Anolis sagrei: one gene and its partner. The main gene of each other region encodes a partner of the protein of the gene in region 2 in a complex. Links are inferred from orthologs where the notes say so. Each region holds a gene or a part of one and is shown on either strand. Other genes may lie near its edges. The genes, in order: PTTG1 and ESPL1.

The links.
Region 1: the proteins of ESPL1 (region 2) and PTTG1 are in contact, whole or in part, in a cryo-EM structure (PDB 7NJ1), measured with the Homo sapiens proteins. The link is inferred for Anolis sagrei from reciprocal best matches to the Homo sapiens genes ESPL1 and PTTG1. Residues at the interface, in NP_036423.4 of Homo sapiens: His402, Thr405, Val406, Tyr409, Ser461, Asn462, Tyr465, Tyr468, Arg505, Arg508, Glu512, Glu544, Thr547, Phe548, Arg551, Gln590, Lys593, Ala594, Val595, Arg596, Thr599, Gly600, Arg603, Gln634, Cys637, Tyr638, Trp683, Ile686, Glu690, Ile697; in NP_001269311.1 of Homo sapiens: Tyr111, Pro112, Glu113, Ile114, Glu115, Lys116, Phe117, Phe118, Pro119, Phe120, Asn121, Pro122, Leu123, Phe125, Glu126, Ser127, Phe128, Asp129, Leu130, Pro131, Glu132, Glu133, His134, Gln135, Ile136, Ala137, His138, Leu139, Pro140, Leu141.

What each region holds. Positions count from the first base shown.
Region 1 is NC_090022.1:111,398,872-111,408,096, forward strand, and holds the start of PTTG1 (securin), read right to left. Parts: upstream 4,976-9,225; 5' UTR 4,944-4,975; intron 3,641-4,943; exon of another isoform or gene 3,502-3,640; intron 3,468-3,501; exon of another isoform or gene 3,433-3,467; intron 3,333-3,432; 5' UTR 3,225-3,332; intron 2,240-3,224; 5' UTR 2,220-2,239; coding exon 2,129-2,219; intron 525-2,128; coding exon 352-524; intron 1-351. Other genes in the region: pre-mRNA-splicing factor SLU7, read left to right, coding at 8,154-8,320. UniProt on the Homo sapiens protein: Regulatory protein, which plays a central role in chromosome stability, in the p53/TP53 pathway, and DNA repair. Probably acts by blocking the action of key proteins.
Region 2 is NC_090022.1:187,106,850-187,116,074, forward strand, and holds the start of ESPL1 (separin), read right to left. Parts: upstream 5,121-9,225; 5' UTR 5,017-5,120; intron 2,143-5,016; 5' UTR 2,135-2,142; coding exon 2,054-2,134; intron 1-2,053. UniProt on the Homo sapiens protein: Caspase-like protease, which plays a central role in the chromosome segregation by cleaving the SCC1/RAD21 subunit of the cohesin complex at the onset of anaphase. During most of the cell cycle, it is inactivated by different mechanisms.

The DNA of each region.
Region 1 (9,225 bases), about 76 Mb from region 2:
TTAACAGGATAAGCAAAGCAATTTGGGCCACAAGTCTCCCTTCCCTGGGTTTAATGCAAAATAAAGAATCCCCAACTATCTTTTATTGAGGCACTGCAAGGAAATAAAGTACACATAAAACACTTACTAGAACTATTTTACCCTTTTCCCAAAATAAATAGGTCAATCACTAGGCACCATGTGTATGTCTGACAGACTGGGGCACATCTTTGAATACACAACACAGCTTGGCTATTATGTTGCGGTTGAGATTACTGTGAGATTTTCACTTTAATTTATACTAAAACAAGCTTTGGCATTAGCATTACTGTTCTGTTTCAAAATGAGAAGAAGCCCTACAGCACATGTTACCTTTTTTGCAGGTAACTTCTTTTCCATAGAAACCAGTTTTGTTGCTGACAAAGGCTTATTCACATTTCCAAGGGCCTTCCTGGCTGACTGAGAGTTCGCATTCTTCAGATTGACATTTGCTGTCCTTCCAACAAGTGGAGTCTTAGGGTGAGACTTTTCACCAAATATCTTTGCTGCAGAAAGAAAAAAGCATCCAGCATGCTTAAGATTCAGTTTCAACATCTTTTCATTGATTATATGTAGTATGGCATCAGACAGGTGAACAAATTACACCATGTAAGAAAATCTGGAAAAAAATCTGCTCCTGGTTTGAAAGTGTTATTTCTTGTTTAACTGTGCGGTCCTTACTTTGAAAGTAGTTGTTATACTCCAGAAACTTCCTTTCTAGAGTTTCTTGCCACAAACTATTTGGAATTGGTTGAGACTCTATGAGATAGTTATTAAAAAGCTATAGCAAAATGTGCTGCAGGATGTCCCGCAAAAACAAAGGTTTTGCAGTTCAATAAACTCGTTCAGATTTTTATGGTAGAAACAATGAGAAAATGGCATTTATAACCTAGGAACAAAATAGTGTTTCTGATTGTTATAACTATCAATTTTGCCATCAAGGAAGATAACTGTGTTACAATCCAGTTTCCAGAATGCTACTGTAGAGCACAGCTCCTTAAGCATTTCCACTTAGGACCCATTTTAGACTAAGATATTTTTACATAACCTCGGATATATAAATAAAATAAGCATAAAAATCATTTCCAAGGATTGCTAAATAAGTTGATTTTCTTTTATTAAGAACAGCTGAAGAATTTTCTGCAGTTCACTGTAAACAACACACAACTGATTTGTATAAAAGTCTAAAACTGCTACTAAGGTCCAAAAGTCAAGAGATTGGGGGGGGGGGTGGACCCCGTGTCAGCTCCCAGCTTCATCCCTTTACCATGGTGGGTCACAGGCTTTCATCCCACATTTCCCTACTGTCCCTGGTTTCCTCTTAGCATGTTGCCAGGACGGAGCCCCGATGCTAGTAGCACTGTGTCACATGATGGGCTCCGGCAGCGTGCTAGGACAGGTAAAAAACCCTGCCTGATGAGGTCATAAGTAATATTCAGAAACCTTTGACTGTTGCCAAATTTTTCAGGACTATTTAGGATAAGGGCCCACGGTTTAAGGAGCAGTGCTCTAGAGCAATTAATACAAGCACTTTAGACCTCATAACCTGACCAGGTGAAAGCCTAGTGGAGGAAGAAATCTTCCAACTCTGCTCAGGTGTTATGACTTGCAAGGGAGAAAGTTCTAAGTGTGAAGTACTACTGGAAGCTTCCTCATTGAAAGGCAACCAATTAATAGTATGTGTCCCTTCTATCCATTTTTTTCTTCCTTTGCTTGTTCAAAGTTTTCTTTCTAAAACATTGTCTTCTGCTCATTGCTACTCTTTACATAAAAGCTTCACTAACTCCTTTTCAAGTATCTTCTTAAAACATATGTTTATATTCCATCAAGGAACTCAAGATACTACACACAGGGTTCCCCAAAAGGAACATATTCAACAACTGATCAAACCCTCACTACAATTCAGTAATGTGGCTGCTTATGAAATGTGCCCAGAGATTAGCAATTATGTACAAGATGAGAAAAATAAATGCATAGCTGACTACGATAAAGAATGAGAGTAACCACAGGGTGAGTAAGAACTCGCTCATTAAAGTCACTAGTACTTTCAAGCAAAGGGGCATATTAGTTCTTTTATATCGGCTTTACATTTGAATTAATGCATACTCACAAGGTGCTGGTAGGGTTCTGAGTCGATCCTTAGAGGCAGTAACAATGCCAGCATCACCATTTTCTTTGTCTATGTATATGCGCGTTGCCATTCCTTTTGCATCAGATGGTCCTAAAATAGACACCACAGCTGCAGTAGCAGATCCTATATTGCTCATGTAATAATGCCCCAAAAATACAACAGGAAACATGTTCTCTCAAGAACACCCAGTCAAGCTTCTTGGAGTGAAAACAAACATTATTAGTTTGACACACTGTTTAAGACTTGTGAAGCTTCCTTCTACTGAGCTGGGACAAACACTACAGTATTTTATATAAGGAATTTTAAAAACATTCACTGCTCTCTAATCCAGGCATGGGCAAAGTTTGGCCCTCCAGGTGTTTTGTACTTTAACTCCCACAATTACTAACCGCTGGTTAGGAATTCCAACCGGCTGTTATACATTGTGGGAGTTGAAGTCCAAAACACCTGGAGGGCCGAACTTTCCCCATACCTGCTCTAGTCACTTGCATCAGAAAAATAAAAGCTCACAAGTTCATCAGTGTGGTATTTAAATATTTAATTAAAATTTGAACTCTATATAAATAAAAATGGAATGTTCGTTTGTGGGATTAACATAACTCAAATTGACACCAAATGTGGACACAATACACCTATCAGGCCAACGAGTGACCATCACTCATAAAAACACTGAAAAACACAGCAGAAGGGGCTTAAAAAGCCAGAAAATAAAAAATACATTACAACGCATTTGCATAACCACATATATACACATACATACACACACAAAACACATATACACAGACTGGGCCACAGCAAGGTGTGGCAGGGGATGGCTAGTACTTAATAAAAGTACATTTGCAAACAGAACAATTTTTTTTCAAAAGCGATTAAAAAAACAAAGCAGAAAAGTCTTGAAAAGGTACGATGTTCAAAGGTTTGTTGTTTTAACTTATTTGAATACTTTCCATGAACCAGTGGTTTCAACAGTCACAAGATTTTTTTAAAAAAAGTTACTTTTTTACTAAAGCCAACAACATGCATGCCGACACTTTTGGCTTATTTGACACAGTTTCTCCTGTCTGGAGCTACTCACTCAAACTACACTCTCTGGAAAGCAACCAACTGCAGTAACACAGCCAAATAACACCAGTCTATCCTGGTTGAGATCTTTTGGAAGGAAGCTTCGACCAACAGGAAACAACTAGGAATTAAAGCAAAAACACAAAACCATAAATGTTTATCCTTGTTCCTGGTACATTATTAATTATATCTTATTTTTAATTATGCTTATAATATTATACAAAATAAAGGTGCAGTCCTGAATCTCAAAGCATTAAGCAGCATTCCATTAAAAATGAAGAGAAAAACACCTGCAAACCCCACTTATGAATCCCAACCCAACCCACCGTGCCTTCAAAGTGAGTTCATAGAGTTCAGTCTAACAGGGAACTGTTTTTAAAATCGTTAACGTCGTACGTCATTGGTTGGTTCCCATCCTCGCAGGACGCCAGCAATCCTGATTGGCTGTTTTGCTAAACCAACAGCAGCAGAGAAGAAGGGCGCGAGCGGAGTTTGCGCAGTCGGGAGTAAACCTCGGAAAATACTGTAGGTGTTAGTTGCAGGACTCAGGAATTCACACCGTTTGAGATCCCTTTAAGCGCTGTGGCTCAATGCTATGGAGTCATGGGAGTCGTACTTTGGCAAGGCACTCCTTGGCAGAGAAGGCTAAGGGCCCTGGAAAACTACATCTCCCCTGGTTCCATAGCATTGCGCCATGGCGGTCATAGTGGTGTCAAACTGCATTCACCCTACAATGTAGATGCACCTTAGCAGATGCTGGCCTGTGCTGCAATCCAGAGAGAGCACCCTACAGTGCCGCTTTGAAAAGTTAATTTTGGGTGCATCTACATTGCAGAATTAGTGCCGCATTGATACAGCTTTAACTGCCAGGGCTCAATGCTATGCGATCCTGGGCGTTGTAGTTTTACCTTCTCTGCCCAAGGCTGTTGCCTCACCAAGCCACAAAACCCCAGGATCCCATAGCCATGGCAGTTAAAGTGGTCCCAAACTGCATTATTTCTACAGCACAGAAGTGGCCTTTTTGGATTGCAGGTCCCAGAATCCCCAAGCCAAGCGTGACCAAGGGCAGTTTGAGGAATGCTGGGAATTGCAGTCAAAAACACAGCTGGTACATAAGGACACTGAAAGGGCCCTAAGGCCCTGCCATACAATCCAGATAATCAAAGATATTACACATCTGCTTTGAACTGGATTATATGAGTCTACACTGCCATATAATCCAGTTCAAATAAAATAAATTGGATATTATATGGCAGTGTAGAAGGGGCCTAAGGGAGTTATGCCTCAGGGCCCTTCCACATAGCCATAAAACCCAAAATATCAAGGCGAGTAATCCACAATATCTGTTTTGAACTGGGATATCTGAGTCCACACTGCCATATAATCCGGTTCATTATGGATGTTATACAACTGTGTGGAAGGAGGCTCAGGGCTGCCCTGAAAGGGAGATATGATTTCCCTTCTCTGCAAAAGGCTGAGAAATCTCTCCAATGACCCAGCTGCCCAAAAGGAAGAGCCCAGCGCTCTACCTGTCACCTCCCATTCTGGGCTTGTAGTTCAGCGAGGCCCAAGAGCTCTCTAACTGGGAGTTCTTAATGTCCTTCGCTAAACTATAAATCCCATGATTCCATTGGTCTGTTTCCATAGTAGTGCTCTAGCTATGGCTCTGCAGGTTCTTAAACCCAATCCTTTTTTTTTTTTTTTCAAGCAGCCATTCACTCTCTGCAGTCACCCAGAATGAACGCTGGGCAGCCGAAGCTGATTGGGAAGGATCCCTTGCTTCGGAGGTGAATTAAGCTCTATCCCTTTAAGAAAAAAAAGTAGGAGGGGCGAATAGGGCCGCGCGCTGCATTATGGGAAACGGAAGTGAGGCCTACTTAGTGTCGTAGCCTCAGTAAAGCTGAAGGAGTGAATGCCTTCGACTTTTGGGTGAGTCTGAGGGGCTTTTCCTGGTGTTTCCGGAAGCGGAGACTGTTTTTGTATGTGTTGTGGTGTGTCTTCTCCTGGGATCTCAACTCCTCCTTCAAACTACCTTTCAATTACACTTGTTTACACAACGGACGTAATCCCTCGCTCTTGTTGTTGTCAAGTCAGTTCTGATTTATGGCGACTTTAAAGCGAAACTGCCACAGGATTTCTTGGCAGGAGTTCATCAGAAGGGGCTTGACTTTGCCTTCCTCTGAGGCTGAGAGAGTGTGACTGCTCCGAGTCCACTCGGTGGATTTCTAGGGTTGAATAGGGATTGGAATTGGTCTCCAGCTGTACTGTAGAATTGATGCAGTTTGACACCACTTTAACTGCCATGGCGCAGTGGTATGGAATCCTGGGAGCTGTTGTTTTGTAAGGCTTCTGCACTCTGTGACAGAGAAAGCCAAAGACGTTGTCAAACTACAGATCTCAGTGAATTTGGTGTAATAATACCAATCCTACAGTGTAAATACATCCTGTGTTGCCATATGTTTCCACTATTTATTTACCATATTTGTATACCGCCCCTCTCAACCCAGAGGCGACTCGAGGCGGTTTACAATCGGCAGTCAATGCTCCCAAACAACATAAAATACAGTTAAAAGCAAGGCTGTTGCCTCACCAAGCAACAAAACCCCAGGATCCCATAGCCATGGCAATTAAAGTGGTCTCAAACTGCATTATTTCTACAGTACAGAAGTGGCCTTCCCTATAGTCATGTAAAGTTAGAACCATCTGCTGCAACACCGGATGGGAGTGCCATATTGTTTGCAGCAGGGATCAGAAACAGAATGCTCTCCATGAAACCACAGTAGGTATACCTTGCTTTGGTATTTAGTTCCTTTATATTTGTGTGTTTTATTTGTCAATACGTATACTGTCCAGATGTCCTAAAAGTGCCAAATCCCATCTGGTCTTGGAAGTTAAGGAAGAACTCCAGCCCCAATTAGGACTTGAATGGGAAAGCAACATAGTAATGTCTACACTCTTAACTGTTTAGAATTCTAGAAGAAAACCTATTCCTGACCAAGAGTCTTCCTTAATTTATAGCTTTTTATCACCTGCCATTGATTCTGAAAGACCTCAAAACATAGTGGAAAAACCTAAATGTGGATATGTGTGTGCCTTTAGGTTGATTTATATTGATTTATGGTATCAAAACTGCATTAATTCTATAGTGTAGATATACCCAGGGACAGGATAGTTGAGTTTTTAAGCAGCATATGTACTTAGTGTCTCAAACATCTATTTATAAAGGAATTTTTAGAAAGTATCACAAGTGTAATTATGAACGTCTCGGCTCTGTTTCTTACCACAGTCTCCTTCAATAGCTGTCAAAAGGGCTAGTTAATGCTCTAGTAGTGGTTCTCAACCTGTGGATCCCCAGATGTTTTGGCTTTCAACTCCCAAAAATCCTAACAGCTGGTCAACTGGCTGGGATTTCTGGGAGTTGTAGGCCAAAACACTTGAGGACCCACAGGTTGAGAAGCATTACTCTATATAGAGCATTCTTCCCTAAACTAGCTAGGAGGAATTGCTGGAAAGAAAACCATAAGCAGCAGGTAAACATATGCAAATGTGGGCAGTCATAAGCATACTAAATATGCTACAATTTGTTTTACAGTGTAGATTTCTTTAATCATAATCTTTTTTTTAAACAGATAGTAATATTTTTTTTAATTACAAAGCTTTTACGCTTAAATTAATCCTGACCTATAGTTTCTTTTACATCTTTCAAAAACTTGACTGTTCAGAACATCAATTATGGTTGTTGCTATTGTTTTAAAAATTGTACTATTATATTCTGTGTCATGTCTGCAGAATATCTACTATAGGAGCATATAAAAGTGTTTCACATAGGTTCACATGACTTAACCAAGCATAGTAGCTTAGATACTAAATAAGCTTATGTAACTAGCAGAACTGTAAAACAGGTCTTTCCATCCCTGGTGCTTCAGTTCCTTGCAGTTGGAAATGTATAGTAAACATATAATACAGTTCTCAAGATGTTGTTCTTCTCGATTAAAAACAGTTTCAAATGCCACATTGGCCAGTACTTAAAGAAAGTTCTTCAGTTGTTGTTTAGAACAAATAAATGCTAGTTAGTTCAAATAGATGAGGGAAAATTAAAACATCGTGGAGGTGATTGTGAAACTATTATCACAGAGAATAATATTATTATTATTTTAATTGCAATGCCAACACAAAAGTAAGAAACCCATTAGAAGTGTTAACAACTAGGCCTGGGTAACAACGGAAAAATTTGTTTCTAAAATCGATTCGTTTTTTGGGGGTTTTTGCGTTTCGATTTTAAAAAGAATTCCGAAATTTTTCTTTTAAAAAGTTCGATATTTACGAAATTTCGTAAATGTTAAAAAAATTACGAAACAATAACGAATTGATTCGTTAATGGCGGATGCGACCGCGAAATACGCTAAAAAACCTCCAAATGGGACAGGGGGGAACTTCTGAAGCTTCCCTCTCCCTCTGTTGTTGACTGTTGGTGTGATATTATAATTTTTTTTCACTAATTAAACAAAAAACAACTATAAAACCTGCCCCAGACATGCGGAAATAATAACGAAACGACTTCAAAACGATAATGAAACGAATACAAAACGAATTAGAAACAATTACGAAACGAATTTAAAAATTCGTTTCGTTTTTAAGTTGCTCCAGAATGGTTCGTTATCGCTTCGTTACTTAAAAAAAAATAACGAATTTTTAACGAATTACGAATTAACAAAACGAAACCGCCCAGCCCTATTAACAACCTTCTCAAATGACAAAATACCAACATAAACTCAAATGCTTAGTAGTTTACCTAGATAGAAGGAAGTTCATTTATTTCAATAACAGCAATAAATCTTATTGGAAAGGTAAGTGCTATGCCTTATGCTATTGTATAAGGCATTTTAACCATTCTTAACCTCTATTCATTTGTTTATCTGTATAGGTTACTAGAAAAAAGACTATGGAATCTGGGAGTATGGAAACGATAGCTACTAACCCTCCTGGTGGAGGTTCAAATGGCTTAGAAGAGCCTAAGAAAATGACAAGAGAGGATTGGAGAAAGAAGAAGGAGTTGGAAGAACAGCGAAAATTGGGCAATGCTCCAGCTGAAGTGGACGAAGAGGGAAAGTAAGACTTGTATAATTTGCTTAATACAACATTTCCTGCATCTCTGCCAACCAGTCCCTGTTTCCTTCAAAAATTATGCATATTTTATATTTTTAGGAATCCCTTCTCTGCTATTTTGGAGCTATAACTGAGAAATAGATTGCATCATTGTTTATTTTTAACATTTGGCCTTGTTGCAGCCAGGGACTAAAGAAACAAATGAAATGGCTGTCTTTCACATTGTTGATTCTTCATTACACTTTATAGAGCAAGCAGGCAGTTGAGAAATTGAGAGATTTTGGAATGTGGGTTTTGTCAGTTTTTTAATCTTAAATCTTGTGAGTTTTAAAACCTTTGGTGAAGATTTCGGTGTAGTATTTCTCTGTTGATGCTTGTTAGGTTCAGTGAAGCTTACTTTCCAGTCTATATGTGTAGAACTGGAGTGTGTATCAATAACCCTCCTCCTAGTGCAAACACTGACAATTTATCTTTTCTATGTGAAGTATCTCTTCACATAGGTCTCTTCCAACTCAACGATTCTATGGCCACTTCCATGTTGCTATCTTGGGATACTTGGGAGAGCAGTCATTTCCCCCTAATATAGAAGTTAATTATTCTCAAATCTTGATCACATTAGACAAAAGTTTGGCAACAACTGAAGTGACACTGGGATTCTTCTAATAACAACAATATAATCCTTGTGGAGCTCTCAATGACACCTGGGACAGCACATGCAACCATAGGGAATAGCTGGAGACGTATCTGGCTTTTGTCCTGGTCTTCACCAATATATAAATTGCTATCTTTGATGGGAGAGGGGCTGCCGCATTAAAGATATGTGTTCAGGTGGATTTTGCTCATTGTGTAATTAGAACAGAATTCTGACCTCAGCGACCCAAAATGGATTATGACAATGATGGTAATGG
Region 2 (9,225 bases):
ATAATGAAAGTTAGAAGACCAACACATATGGAGGGCACCCATTTTGGGAAGAACAGGCATACAGTATTATCTAAACTGTACAGTGCACTTTCCTTATTACAGTTGGGAGAAAACATGTGCATGAAAAAACTATGTTTAACAGAAACTTGCAATGTCCCACACCATCCCAGATTGTGCAGTTCCCCAATGACAACCACATTTCTTCTCCAATACAATTACCACATGTGGACCCATGCTAGCAAGCCACTAGCCCTCATATCATCTTAAACTAGACAATGCAAAATCCAACAGAAAATTTAGGAAACTTCTTTAGTGGAAGTAAAAGCTTTGGATGCAAAAAAATTAAGATGGCACGTGGCAGTTGTTCTGAAGCCACTACAACTTTAGCTAATGCCAAGTGAGTAGCCTCTATTGATGTCAGACTTGTATAACCTGGGCTTTTGACTATGTTTATTATTAATATGTGTATGTCTGGCATCAGAATGTAGAAAGCAGTCAACACTAACTTCTGTTTAAATTAATCCCCAGTCTTTTAGATGTAAATACTATTATTTCTTTATTATTTATTTACCATATTTGTACCTCGTCCTTCTGAACCCCGAGGGGGAATCAGAGCAGCCTTACATATCAGCAACTATTCAATGCCTTAAATAACATACAATTGGTAAATATCTACATTAAAAACCAGAAAATTAAAACACCAAAAAAAACAATTACATCAATGATTAAAATCACATAATTAAAGTCATAATCCATGGCCATTCCAATTGTCATTGCACAAGTTCTACATTCATTTATTGCAAAATCTTGGAGAATAACTAACAATTAGTTATCAGAAAACTATTACTAGTTTGTCTAGATGCACATATCAGATACAAGTGTAATTAATTAGAAGTGCATGTCAATCGGGGAACAGGTGTGAGAAAATGCATGAAGTCCAGGAGCGCTTTGCTTATTAAAAGCCTTGACGAACTGCCTGAGAGAGTATTGTCGAAAACCTACAACAACCCAGTGCCTGAGAGAGCTTGACACAAACCAGAAGAGCCAGCAAGAGGCTGTGCATTAACACAAATCTGGGTTCCTCCGCTGTATCTTCTCCAGGCTCTCAACAGCTGAATGGGGACAGGTGGAATTTGCTCCAAGTATTGACTGTATTTTAACATGTGTAAATGTTACCTGTCATTTAAAAAAAAACCTGTCAAACCTTGAATCATCTGCTGTGTGTTGCCCCTCCACCCAAAAAACCCAGTTTCTTTGGACAGAATATTTTCCCACCCAGCTGATAGTACATCCCAATTTCAATCAGCATGGCCAAACATTAGTGACATGGCAACTATAAATCAACAGCATGAAGGAAGCATAGGATCCCCACTTCCGACCCTCAGGATATACCAAGCATTCATTTTAAGCAGGGCCACCTTTGCAGTTAGACAGACAAACCAGCTGCCTTGGGCAGCAGATGTCAGGTGACAGCTCCAACGGAACTTCCGAGCTTTCCAGCTGTTCCTTGTTAACAGAGGGCAGAGTACTGCATGCCACATTGTTTGTCCTTGCTATCTAGACCAGTGATTCACAAATTGTTCCACAAAACCCTAAAATTCAATGAAAACATAGAGGTTCCTCTAAAAAACATATTTAATTTTTTAAGTCCATACCAGAGTATTCAGATCGTATTGAAATCCAATGAACTTCTGCTTAAAAAAAAATTTAATCTCTTTATTTTCAAACATACAATAACAGCCAGGCAATAGGAGGTGACGGAAAGAAAAAATTGTGCATTCACAATCCTGAGAATTCCACAGGGGGGAGGGGGTGTCTTCTGAAGGGTTCCATGACCAAAACAGTTTGGGAACTACTGATCTAGACTAGCCTAGGTATGGAGGCAGCTACCATTCTCCATGTTACCAAGGAGAAGAGCCACTGCCTTTTCTCAGAGGCAATTTGCCTCTAGGACTACAGGTACCGTGTTCTCCTATCACTGCTAATATCCATTAAAAGGCCATTTTCCAGAACCACCCAGACTGGAGGGTATCAACTCATCTTGGAGGCTTACCTTCAACTCTGACAACAAAGCCAGAGATTCTTCAGGAGTACTGGTCTGTGCCACAAAATCTGCACCTTTAAGGTGCTCCATTTTGCATCCTACAGAAAAAGACATATAACTGATTAACCATACATAGCGCTGAGACAGGTATCTCACATCAAGTGCTGAGAGCAACTTGAAAGCCAGGAAGTCTTGGCTTTCAAATTATCTTCAACTAACTTGATGATAGTTAAATTAAAGTTAACTTCCAACAGACCATACTGTTAAATCCCTGGAATTGTTTTTGCAAGACTTCTCATCTCAGATTGTCAAAGCTTTCCCGCCTGCCTATCCAAATGAGAGGACACTTTAGATGACAAGTCCAAAAGAAGAATGATTCCATGCTATGCAAATAGCGGGCTGAGGTATTCTGAGCCAAGTCTTCAAAATATGAGAACACATCATAAACTTAATCCCACTTAACTACCATGTAATATTATGGCAAAGAGGCTCAAGCCCAAATTCATCCTTCCTGTCTCAGTTTGCACCATTCTTCTACCAAAAAAAAAAAAAACCCCAAGTGTACACACAGAACACTTCCTCTAGTTCAGTAGTGTCCAACCTTTGATCCTCCAGGTGTTTGGGACTCTATCTCTCAGAAGCCCTGTCCAGCCACTCCAGTGGTCAGGAATTCTAAGAGCTGAAGTCCAAAACACCCAGAAGACCAAAGGCTCTAGTCACGCCTTTCTTCACTGTCAATTTCATGTTGTTTTTTATACTACGCGTCCCATGGGACCTGTTCTCTTTCCTTGTGCAGCATCATATAGGTATCTGTTATCTGTTGACTTACAGGGACTCTATGAGATAATGTGAAGGCAGACATATACCAATTTTATTCAGTCACATCTTACAACAAAACAAGTCAGGAAGGTGGGCACACCAAAAATGTTGGATTTAGGGCCCTTCCACACAGGCATATATCCCAGAATATTAAGGCAGATAATTTATTTACGACATTTATATGCTGCCCTTCTCACCCTGAAGGGGTCTCAGAGCGGCTTACATACAATATATTATATTATTAGTTTTAAATATTTCTATATTGTACTATGCCAATTATACGGCAACATTATTAGTAATACCACATGTAATATAAATATATAATTATAATATAATATTATTATATATTAGTAGTATTATACATTATAATATTATATATTATACATTACATTATAATGTATAATTGTATTTACATTATAATATTATAAATATTATATGTATATACAATATATTATATTATGAGAATAGCACAGGAGACAAGGTGGAACAAGGTGAAGATAATCCACAATATTTGCTTTGAACTTGGTTATCTGAGTCCACGCTGCTGTATAGTCCAGTTCTATGTGGATTTTATACAATATATTATATTATTAGTTTTAAATATTGCTATATTGTACTATACCAATTATACAAAATTTTATGCAGATTTTGTTTTGTTAATCTTATGGTTTTTACTTTATATGTTGTGATTTTTACCTGGGAACCGCTCTGAGTCCCCTTGGGGAGATAGAGCGGTATATAAATGAAGTTTTTTAAATTATTATTATTATTATTATTATTATTATCATCATCATTATTTTTATTATACTGCAACATTATTAGTAATACCACATGTAATATAAATATATAACTATAATATCATATTATTATATTGCATTACATTATAATATTATAATTATATGTATATACAATATATTATATTATTAGAATAGCACAGGAGACAAGGTGGAAAAAGGTGGAGATATTCCGCAATATCTGCTTTGAACTTGGTTATCTGAGTCCACACTGCTGTATAGTCCAGTTCTATGTGGATTTTATACAATATATTATATTAGTTTTAAATATTGCTATATTTTACTATAACAATTATACTGCAACATTATTAGTAATACCACATGTAATATAAGTATATAATTATAATATATTATTATTATATTGCATTACATTATAATATTATAATTATATGTATATATATAAAAAGGTTTTCCCCTGACATTAAGTCCAGTCATGTCTGACTCTGGGGTGTGGTGCTCATCTCTATTTCTAAGCCGAAGAGCCTGCGTTGTCCGTAGACACCTCCAAGGTCATGTGGCCGGCATGACTGCATGGAACGCCGTTACCTTCCCACCGGAGCGGTACCTATTGATCTACTCACATTTGCATGTTTTCGAACTGCTAGGTTGGCAGAAGCTAGGGCTGACAGCGGAAGCTTACGCCGCTCCCCGGAATCGAACCTGTGACCTTTCGATCAACAAGCTCAGCAGCTCAGTGCTTTAACCCACTGCGCCACCAGGGGCTATACAATATATTATATTATTAGAATAGCACAGGAGACAAGATGAAGATAATCCACAATATCTGCTTTGAACTTGGTTATCTGAGTCCACACTGCTGTATATTCCAGTTCTGTGTGGATTTTATACAGCTGTACAGAAGGGGCCTTAGCTTCCTATAAAATCAGCATAATTTTTAAATGCTTTAGAAACTTCAATTTGCTGGCCCTTTTTATTTAATTAAAACAAATTATTACTTAAATTAAAAATTATTACTTATTTAAATAAATAAACAAATATAACTGTACTACACTAGGCAAGGGCAAAGTTGGGCCCTCTGGGAGTTTTGGACTTCAACTCCCATAATTCCTCACAGCCTCAGGCCCTTTCCTTTCCCCCCTCAGCCGCTTAAGTGCCAGAGGGGGAAAAGGAAGGGGCCTGAGGCTGTTAGGAATTGTGGGCGTTGAAGTCCAAAACTCCCAGAGGGCCCAACTTTGCCCAGGCCTGATGTACACTGTAGCTTGACACCATTTTAACCATCATGGCTGAGTGCGACTGAATCCTGTGACTTGTAGTTTTACAGTGTTTGTAGCCTTCTCTGCGAAACTACAACTCCCCCAGTCCAACTCAAAGCCAGGGCTTACCCCAGTCCTTACGTACCCGCTGGAAGGAAGCCTTTCCGCCCAACTGGCAAGTCACCACCACACTGGAAACCAGGGCCCGAGCCGGCCCCGCGCCCTGTTCAAATCCTCGCCGAGGGCCAATCAGCGCCCGCCCCCGCGCCCCGCCCCCGCGCCCCGCCTCCGCCCATTGCACTCTGGGAAATCTCACTGTAAACACTTTCTGGAGTCACAGCGTGCAGAATGAGTGAAGGAATGAATGGCACTTGGGCTGTCACCATTCGGTTCAATGCTGTGGAGTCCTGGGAGCTGTTAGTTGGCAGCCCTTTTAGAAGCTACTTACTTACTTACTTACTTACTTACTTACTTAGGCGATCCCTCGTAGTCTGAGGTTGAAGGTCCTCCAAGTGTGTTGTTGTTCATTCGTTCAGTCGCTTCCGACTCTTCGTGACCTCACGAACCAGCCCACGCCAGAGCTCCCTGTCGGCCGTCACCACCCCCAGCTCCTTCAAGGTCTATCCAGTCACTTCAAGGATGCCATCGGCCCCTCTTCCTTTTGCCTTCCACTTTCCCCAGCATAATTGTCTTCTCCAGGCTTTCCTGTCTCCTCATGATGTGGCCAAAGTACTTCAACTCTAGTATCCTTCCCTCCAGTGAGCAGTCGGGCTTTATTTCCTGGAGGATGGACTGGTTGGATCTTCTCGCAGTCCAAGGCACTCTCAGCACTTTCCTCCAACACCACAGCTCAAAAGCATCAATCTTCCTTCGCTCAGCTCCTCCTCGCTTTTGGCCATCAGAGTGGTGTCATCTGCATATCTGAGGTTGTTAATGTTTCTTCCAGCAATTTTCATCCCAACCTTGCATTCATCAAGCCCTGCACATCGCATGATGTGTTCTGCATACAAGTTGAATAGGTTGGGTGAGAGTATACAACCCTGCCGTACACCTTTCCCAATCTTGAACCAGTCTGTTGTTCCGTGGTCAGTTCTGACTGTTGCTACTTGGTCCTTGTACAGATTCCTCAGGAAAGAGACAAGGTGGCTTGGTATGCCCATCCCACCAAGAACTTGCCACAATTTGTTATGATCCACACAGTCAAAGGCTTTAGAATAGTCAATGAAACAGAAATAGATGTTTTTCTGAAACTCCCTGCCTTTCTCCATTATCCAGCGGATATTGGCAATCTGGTCTCTTGTTCCTCTGCCTTTTCTAAACCCAGCTTGAACATCTGGCAACTCTCGCTCCCTGTATTGCTGGAGTCTTCCTTGCAAGATCTTGAGCATTACCTTACTGGCATGAAAAATAAGGGCCACTGTACAGAAGTTTGAGCAGTCTTTCGCATTTCCCTTTTTTGGTATGGTTATATAAGTTGATTTTTTCCAATCTGATGGCCATTCTTGTGTTTTCCATATTTGCTGGCATATGGCATGCATCACCTTGACAGCATCATGGACCTCCAAGTGTAGTGGGTACGTAAGTGACTATGGAGCCCTATTCTTGATCTGCATCTTCTCCCGCAGTGAGGGCATCGGTTTGCAGGTAGAAGGTTGGTTTGACACACCTTCCTCTTGGCATGTTTATCTCTTTCGCCCTTCATTCGCGCCTCTTCAAATTCTGCAGCACTGCTGGTCACAGCTGACCTCCAGGGCTTCCCAGTTCTCAGTGTCTATGTCAGAGTTTTAAGGTTGGCTTGTGCCCATCTTTAAATCTGGGTTGTTGTAGGTTTTTTCGGGCTATATGGCCATGTTCTAGAGCAGGGGTCCTCAAACTAGGGGCCGGATACAGCCTTTCCAAGGTCATTTGTCCAGCCCTCGCTCAGGGTCAACCTAAGTCTGAAACGACTTGAAAGCACACAACAACAACAATTCTATCTCATCAGCCAAAAGCAGGCCCACATTTCTTTTCATCTTTAGTTTCTTTCATATTAGAGTATGTGCTGTGTGCTTTAAGATCTCTCTCTGCATGTGTGTCAAAGAGATGCAGTTGATTGGTGTTTTTCCCTCTTTGAAACCTTAGAAGAAATGGGTGTTAGAGTAGCTCAGACCCAATTATTTACCATTAAGAAATGCAGTTATTGTTTATTATCTATATCAGGGGTCCTCAAACTAAGGCCTGGGGGCAGGATGCGGCCCTCCAAGGTCATTTACCCGGCCCTCGCTCAGGGTCAACCCAAGTCTGAAACGACTTGAAAGCACACAACAACAACAATCCTATCTCATCAGCCAAAAGCAGGCCCACACTTCCCATTGAAATACTAATAAGCTTATATTTATTAAAATTGTTCTTCATGTTAATTATTGTATTGTTTTAAAGTGGTTTTTTTTCTCTTCTTTTTGCACTAAAAATAAGATATGTGCAGTGTGCAGAGGAATTCATTCCTGTTTTTTCCAAATTATATTCTGGCACTCCAACAGTTTGAGGTACTGTGACCTGGCCCTCTGTTTAAAAAGTTTGTGGACCCCTGTTCTAGAGGCGTTCTCTCCTGATGTTTCACCTGCATCTATGGTAAGTATCCTCAGAGGTAATGAGGTCACTACCTCTAAGGATGCTTGCTGTAGTTGCAGGCGAAACGTCAGAGAGAATGCCTCTAGAATATGGCCATATAGCCCAAAAAACCCTAAAACAACCTAGTGATTCTGGCCATGAAAGTCTTCGACAATGCATCTTTAAATCTCTTTTCCTGTCAACCAACATTATGTTTCCCATTCTTGAGTTCGGAGTAGAGAACTGCTTTGGGAGACGGTGGTCAGGCATCCGGACAACGTGGCCGGTTCAGCGAAGTTGATGGTGGAGGACCATCGCTTCATTGATGGTGGTCTTTGCTTCTTCCAGCACACTGACATTTGTCCGCTTGTCTTCCCAAGAGATTTGCAGGATTTTCTGGAAGCAGCGCTGATGGAATCGTTCTAGGAGTTGCAAGCTACATACAACCTCCCAGGATTCCACAGCATTGAGCCACAGCAGTTCAAAGGCAGTGTTGAAAGTGCCTTCGTTCCACAGTGCAGACGCACCCTTCCTCACAGTGATGGGTCACACTTTAAATGATCATTTTGGGGTGAAGGATTGCGGTACATTGTCACTTAGAGTTTCTCTTCTGTACCCTTGGGATCCGCTTACAGCGTGTCTACATTGGAGAAAGAGGTTGTCCTCTCTCTTTTAAAAAAACCTCCACAATTATGAGCTGCATAGATATGTAGTGTAGAAAAGTGCCCTTGTATTGACTGAAAGACGTGTCTGTTGAAGAGGAACAAAAGAAGCAACTTTCTCCTACACTACATACATACATACATACATACAAACATACATTTAGTGATATCCTTTATCTGTAGTGTGTGCATGTGTGTGTGTATCTCCTCTATCTGTATGGAGATAGAATATATATATATATATATATATATATATATATATATTCTATCGTATGTGATATATGGAATATTACAGATAGAGGATATATATAGATTTATATATATACACACATACTACTGATAGATAGATAGATAGATAGATAGATAAATAGATAGATAGAGGATATTTGTGTATGTGTGTATCCTCTCTCTGTAGTATAAATATCATCTATCTATCTGTAGTGTGATTATCCATATATCATCTCTATCTGTATTGTGTGTGTATCATATATATATATATATATATATATATATATATATATATATATATCCTTTATCTATCTGTAGTGTGTGTGTATACATATATGCATACACACACACACATATATATCCTCTAACTGTAGTGTGTGTGTATATATATATTTACAATATTTATATACCCCCTTTCTCACCCCTGGGGGGACTCAAAGCGGTTAATATGTGTATGTGGTTTGCATATATATACTCTATGTGTAGTCTATCTATCCATCTATCTACCTATAATATGTGTACCTATAATATATATGGACATAAATAAACACATATAGTGTGTGTGTGTGTGTGTGTATCCTCTATCTATCTGTAATGTTTGCATATATATATATGTTCATATATCTCCTCTATCTATCTGTAGTGTATATATGTATTTCCATATATATCCCCTATCAATTATAATAATTATTATATTTATTTATGCCCTGCTTTATCTCTCCAAAGGGGATTCAAAGCAACTTGATATAAAAGTATTCACATACTATTTAAAATATACAAATATACAAACATTAAAAAAATTAAAATCATAGCTAAACCATTAAAACATATTCAAAGTTAAAAACCACAGCATCCCTTAAATTGATCTTTAAAAA